2 linked regions of the Danio rerio genome follow. The protein of the gene in region 1 purifies or fractionates together with the protein of each later gene. This does not show direct contact. Links are inferred from orthologs where the notes say so. Each region holds a gene or a part of one and is shown on either strand. Other genes may lie near its edges.

What was found.
Region 2: the proteins of phf10 (region 1) and bcl7a purify together in Homo sapiens (affinity purification with mass spectrometry; 3 studies listed by BioGRID and IntAct, counting the BioPlex papers as one, with this or other methods). This does not show direct contact. The link is inferred for Danio rerio from reciprocal best matches to the Homo sapiens genes PHF10 and BCL7A.

Annotation. Positions count from the first base shown.
Region 1 is NC_133188.1:6,026,613-6,030,106, reverse strand, and holds part of phf10 (PHD finger protein 10), read right to left. Parts: intron 2,316-3,494; coding exon 2,207-2,315; intron 61-2,206; coding exon 1-60. UniProt on the Homo sapiens protein: Involved in transcription activity regulation by chromatin remodeling. Belongs to the neural progenitors-specific chromatin remodeling complex (npBAF complex) and is required for the proliferation of neural progenitors.
Region 2 is NC_133180.1:42,613,556-42,617,312, reverse strand, and holds the start of bcl7a (B-cell CLL/lymphoma 7 protein family member A), read right to left. Parts: upstream 2,230-3,757; 5' UTR 2,165-2,229; coding exon 2,073-2,164; exon of another isoform or gene 1,234-2,072; coding exon of another isoform or gene 1,232-1,233; intron 1,153-1,231; coding exon 1,071-1,152; intron 675-1,070; coding exon 578-674; intron 193-577; coding exon 37-192; coding exon of another isoform or gene 19-36; intron 1-18. Other genes in the region: cfap251 (cilia- and flagella-associated protein 251), read right to left, coding at 2,627-2,748.

The sequences.
Region 1 (3,494 bases):
ACGGGTACATCTTGATCTTGGCCACCAGATCCACACTCATGTCCAAGCAGGACGGGTGACCTGAGCACAAACAAGGCCATCATAACCATCACCATCACCATCACCATCACCATCATCATCATCATCATCATCATCATTAGCCATTCACACAAAAACGTATCTTTTCCAGCAAGCAGAAACTTAAGAAATGATACACGAGAACTTTTTTTTTTTATCAACAGGATGATGAAAAGGCTTTAAAAACAGAGTGCTGTATATATTAAAATGCGTGTAAAATCAAAATGTATTCAAAAATCTAAAACATATTCGAAATCAAAAGGTAAATCAAAATGTAAACAATTTGCTAACGCACATTTTTATTTTTAAATAAACAATTAACGTACGCAAGGTAATCCATTGAAAAAAGTTTATTGGTAATCATCTGAGCACTTGCTTGTGTTTGAACTGTGTTTGATGATGTCAGTTTGATGGTTCGGCCACAGTATTCTTAACCACGCCCCTCTCACCATTAGTTTTCTATGAGGGAATGATGCGCAAAAAGAAAGCCCCGCACCCTACTCAATATTCCGTTTAAGTCAGAAACACAAGTGTATAAAACGGATTAAAACACTCAAAAAGCATACACAAAAAATATCACACTTCATAGTAAGGTTCTATTTGTTAACGTTAAACGTATTTACGAACATGAACGCAGAATACTTGCATGGCATTTATTAATCACAGTTCAACATTCACTGATGCATTATTAAAACCCAAAATTTAAAATACAAAGATTAATTACCACTGTAATAAACTGTTCATGTTAGTAGATCATTATTACACGGCAGTTTGGAATACTCAATTCTGATTAGTCAGTCGCTGCATCCCAAGGCATGCTATTCCCAGATAACAACCACTTAAACTAATAACACAGGCTCATCTAGGTACTTCAAATCATCTTGACTGTCAGTGAATGCGTTTACCTCCATATTTATATGCTTGTCTGTCTCTGGCGCCATTTTGCGACAAGATAATACGTAGGTTAGTGTATGCTCCATTCAGCCGTTTTCGTTTCTGTCAGCTTTGCTTTTATTTAAAGAATTATTCAACTCATGTTTCAAAACAGTTCTGTCCAATTTGTACATATTGTGAAATGTCGCCATGAAATAAATGGGATAAACTATATCCTGTTGCATGATTTTCGCAGATTAAAGCCCTTCAGTCTTATACAACAGTGCTCCGTTTAACGTCAGGCAGCTGATTAGCCTGTCGGGCCTTCATTTTGCGCTTGGATGTACTTTATCCCTTACTCATTACACAGCTGTCTTGAATACTCAATTCTGATTGGCCAGTGACAATATTCAGTATGTTATTCTTAGTTAACAATGGCTTAACGCAGAAAATTTTGAATCACCTTCAGGGTCAGCGAATACGTTCACATGCAACACGTTCTCACGGCAATTCGTAACTTTTTGATTTAGTGGCCAATTCGTATGAATTTGTACCATCTTATTCATACAATTTGCTCATCAATTTACGAGTGACGATTGGGTTTAGGGGCGCAGTAGGTTGCCACACCTCCTTTTTAAAAATTTTACAATTTCAGAAGACTGAATTCGTACAAATTCACTAAACTGACAAAACGCCAGAGATCAGGCTGTCACATCCAAATAATTATACCTACGTTCATATGTATCTGCTTGTCTATCATGCCTCGGCTTTTAACCGTTAATAATACATAGGTAAGTCTATGCTTTATGCAGCTAGTTTTGTTTCGGTCAAACTTTGCATTGTTGACAGTTTGTCACAATATTGTGTCTGAATTACTCACAGGTTAGTGTATACTCCATCAGCCGTTTTTGTTTCGGTCTGCTTTGCATTTAATTAAAGATTGAATAAACTATTACGGCTCAGATGTTTTGTGTCTAATATTTATGTTTTCGTGTCAAGTATTTGTGTAATAAGCAGGATAAAGTACATCCAGGACGGTTGTGTCAAACTAATTAACAGAACCTTATTATAAAGTGTTACCGCAACTTTATGTCCTACTTATAATAGCAGATACAAATTACTAATAACTAGAACCTAGAGTTTTGAATTAAAACATGTATTTTAAAACTAAAATGATTTTCGATTTCGTTTTTTGTGTTTTATACTACTTGTTTCAGAAGGTGCCATTTAAACTGAAAAGCAAGGACTGCTTCAGAAAGAGCTGCTTTTGACTTACCGCTGTTTTGGCACTGGGAGCAGTGGATGAGAGCCTCTGGTTTGCCTCGCTTGTTGGCCTCCTTACCCTTCTGACATATGCCACATATAGCATTGGGAATGACCTTAGGCTGCAAGGGCAGAGTAATGCTATAAACGCCAAGGCAACCAAGGACATACACACCATGTGATATGCTTCAACCAATAACATTTTTACAATTACAGCTCGTCAGCAGAACTTACCAGAGCAAATTAGGCTAAAAACAATAGAAATTGCCCAAATTTCAATTAAAAAGACTTAACGCATATATAATAATACACAAACAAGAAAGACAAAAAATAATAATAATAATCTGCATTTTACATTAAGTATACAGAAAATATATGAAATATACAATAGGTCACTGCTTAAAGTTTAGTCACTAAGATAAATATATATATAAATATATAATTTATTAATATTATTATTATTATTAAATGAAAATCTGCTTCTGTAGGACATGACACCGAAGTCGACAAAAATGTAGCTTTGGCAAAAAAATTATTACCCCCCAAAAAATTTATTTGCACACCACATTCATACATTCATTTATTTTCTTTTCGGTTTAAGGCTGATTTATACTTCTGTGTGGCCGGCGTCGACGCTGAAAAAATGAAACTACACATCGCAATGATGCATAACGCAAGCTCTGGGATTGTTCGGCTTGGTAGTGCTGACGAGTGTGGGTGGAGGTGAGAGCCGCGCGAGCCTGATGGAGCGATTGTTTACAAGTGTGGAGTTCCATGAAGGCGCTCCGGATGGAAATTGTTGTTTTGTGTTTACCTTATGATTAAAGTTGCTGCACGTCTGCTGATTCCCGCCTCAAAATGAGTTAGTTTGAGCTACTTGTACATTAAAGTAGCATTCAGAAAGAAAACAAAAACACCAGCGAAGAAACTCAACACAGAGGAACATAAAAACCTACTGCCTGCTAGCGTTTCGGAGGTGTTACTGCAGAGCAACAGAAACAACGCAAAGAAGTATTTATGCACAGCTATGCGCAAGGCAGGCCGAATTATAAATCAGCTTTAATACATTTTGCAATATTAACCTCCAGCCCACAGCCCTTAAGTTTGTTTTTATTTTTGCCCTTCAAAAGAAAAAGTTTGGGCCCCCCTGATCTAAACGCGTTTTTACTAGAACCGGCTTTACTGACAAAATGTGCATAAAAAAATCGTCTCGATTAAATCGGCCAGCCCTATTTAAAATTCCCATGCTTTGTATGAAAAGCAATCCATTCCATACATATTTGCTAAATTAGTAAGAGTAA
Region 2 (3,757 bases), on another chromosome or scaffold:
AGGATTCAATGCACAAACCACTCTTATGATCCTGACCAGATGAAGGCTGTTTGGAAGGATACTGGTCGTTTTTCAAGTCACTGCTGTCATTCTGAGAAGCGGCCATGGGCTCAGGTGCTGGACTAGTGTTGTTGCTGGTTTCCTGCTTCAATGGGGAAGAGTCCGCAATCGAGCTCTGGTTACTGTTGTCATCTGTGGGTAAAAAAATAGAAACAAAAAAAGTTTTAATATCTGAAAATGTCCATGCATTTGTAACTGTTAATAGGTGGTTACAGGTCGGAATAGCATAGCAAATAACCAGTTCACAGAGTAAAACTGTTTCATCAACTCCCTCTATTGGTTAAGAGGAAAAAATGCACATTCAAAGCTGCCATCATTAATAATTATAATAATGATTTTTTTCTAATAAAAAGCAGGTAACACTTCAAAATCTTAGTCATGCATATTAGACCAACTGTTTGAGGATCACAAAGAACACAATTTGAAATTCTCACATAAATTGGTTTAAAGACTACTGCATGTAATACTAATTTGAAAAAGGTAAAACATTGAGATGTGTTTAGGTGTACAGTTTTACCATGCATATCCATCATTCCAGGAGAGGAGCTGTTCTCAGGGGTCGTGACCTCAGAGCCATACTTGTCATCTTTGCCTTTCTTCTTATTTTTGTTCTTCTGTGTGACATAAATACATATTGCAATCAAGGCATATGAAGAAGATAGTAAAATATGTTGTGTCTGTTTTAAATACGACTCATTTTAGTTAACTTATTTTATTTAAAATAAATATGAATTTAATCTCTGTTAAAAACAATAATACTGGTCTGTGTTATGCTACAACTGAAATATGTTTCCCCCTCAACGAATACCACTACTAATTTACCTTTACTAAATTAAAAAAATAATAACTATAGAATTACTCATTAAAAAGTCATTTGCGTCATATTTTACCTTGACTATTTTGTTCCAACTTTCAAATGAATTTGTTGGTTGTGGTCCATAATGTTACAATAATTATTAGGTTATCAAAACTGCAACAGCTGTGCGTTATTGTAAATAAATGTCACTTACATCATCTGACTTGGGCTCCGTCACTGGTACCCACTTGTAGATTCGCAGTGACGTGTCACCAACAGTCACCCATTTCTTCTCCCTGGAGATGCATGTTATTGTTAGATATCAAAGACAAAGGAAACGCCAGACAAATGAGGACAAACCACTAAATCACTTACATTTAGAGGCATAAGAAATCTCAGATGAGCCATTATTTAGGCAAGATGCATTTGCAGAATATGCAACTGAACAAATTATCGATATCAATAGTAAATAATTATTATCATAAAAATAAATACTAATAATAATGCAGTTCACTAGCTCACAGATGTGTACAATTTTAATCGCACGTTGCCACAAAAACACGATTGTTTCTCATTTAACATGTATACTTTTATAGAATAAATATTGTTTTGGTAATTATTGTTAGTCCAACAAATAATTTGTCATGGTTTGAAAACCCTTAATTCAACTTAAACTTAAGTTTAAACGAAATCCCCAGCAGTTGCTTGAAGTGTAAAAAAGTGTATGTGAAACTGCGGCTCAGGGCTGAGTTTAAAACCCCGCGCGTGGATCAAACTCTCCTCACGCGCCGCCGCTCAAAGCGCGACTCTCTCACTTTCAACACGAGATGAACGAGTCAAACGCCCGTTCACCGGCACTTTCTGTTCGGTACGGACGGTTCACTCTAGTTTCCTCATGTCAGCCCGTTCGGTTACTATTCAGCCGGCATTACAGGCTCTAACAGCAAAGCCTTCATGTGACTGCAACGAAATGGCTTCTAGGTTCAACCCACATAAAAATTTAATGGAAGAAAAAACGCGATCTACATTTTCCCAAACTATGTTTTCACACAGCCGACAAAGGAGCAGCCGCGCGCAGAATCGCAGAAACAGTACATCTGAGTGAAATTGGAGTGGAATAAACGCTCTCTTCGCTTTCATTTCATTGTTTCTCGGTGTCTCTCCTCCCCCACAGGCTGTCTGTGCTGTTCGTTAACGGATAGACGCTCTCTCTTACCATTTCCGCACTTTTTCAATTGCAGCCATAACCCGCTTGATGTCATCTTTCGCCCTGCTCCGCGTCTCCGCTCGAACCGACCTGCCCGACATTACTGCTGTTGGTAAAATATCTTTTTGCTCGCTGCCTGTTTAGACACAATGCGAATGCACACAGCACAGGAGAGAGGCGGGGTTTGTGCGCCTGCGCTGAAGCCAAATGCCCTCGAAGCATGAGAGACACGGTCAATGCGGGTACGCGTTTCGCTCCTTTGTTGGCGAACAGAGCAAAGAAAACGATATTTTATCAGATTGCTGAGCTAGACGAGCGAATCGAAACCAGCACCACGACATCAACACACGTTTTATAAATGTATCTGGAAAAAATGGAGACTTCAATCGACAGCATGTTGACAAACGACATGTTTTATTTTCGTATGATTTTATCTCTATGCGAAAGAATTGAACGCAAACATATAACACAACAGCTCGCTAACCACACAATAACAGTCCATCTGTTTTAAAATACATTACTTATTGACAACGCATGAACATAAGCAGGGAAATGTAAATATATTATGACTCCTGTCCGTGGTGTTCTTGATGGAGCTCCTGGGTGGCGACAGAAAAGCCCAATATATCTGAGGCAAATGCGTCCATGGTGATTTCAGCTGGAAGCACACTTTCCAACAGAGACCCTGAAAGGAGAAAGAGTAACGTTTGTTGAGATCAAAAGATTGCTACATTTTGAAAATCATAATGTATTTTAGCCAAATAGTCTTTAACATTGCAGAGGTTATATATGTGAGTGCATTATTAGCAAAGACGCTAATTTGCACATTCACTTGCCTATGATTTAACCCAAAACATAACCAACAATGTAAAGGCAAAACATGTAAGATGAACGTGTAAATGAACATGTTCATTTATTAATTTATTCAATTTTCTTCAGCTTTGTCACTTTATTAATCTGAGGTCGCCACAGCGGAATGAACCATCAACTTATCCAGCATATTTTTAACACAGCGGATCCCTTCTAGCTGCAACCCAGTACTGGGAAACACCCATACAAACTCAGAAACACTCACACAAAAGACAATTAAGCTTACCCAATTCACCTATAGCGCATGTCTTTGGACTGTGGGGGAAACCCACGCCCACACGGGGAGACCATGCAAACTTCAGACAGAAATGCCGACTGACCCAGTTGGCACTCAAACCAGTGACCTTCTTGCTGTGAGGTGAAAGTGCTAACCACTGAGCCACCGTGTCGCCTTTTCATAGTGTTATATATTTTTTATTATTTTCTGGTAATGCTTTCAAAAATGTTTAAGTCCAAAGAAATAAGCAGTTTTAGTGACAAGGACCATGTCCTGTGTTCCCATGCTAATTATGTCAAATACCCTTGACCACCCTTGGTTTGGTTTTATAGAAAACATGTAGTGGGAAACACCAAAGATGTTTAACATGTTTTGTGTTTTGTTAGAGCTCACAAAGCAGCATTATAACAGAACCTTAAAATGCATTTAGCATGATAAAACATGTTGGTGCTTCCCACACAGGGCCGGAGCAAGCTGAACTGCCGCTCTAGGCAGAGGACAATCACGCCGCCCTCAACCCCAATGAGAAAACGAAAGTGACCGGTTATGAAAATGAAGTGAGGTGTCGCGGACCTCTTATGTGGCACACTATGCGCAGATATAACTG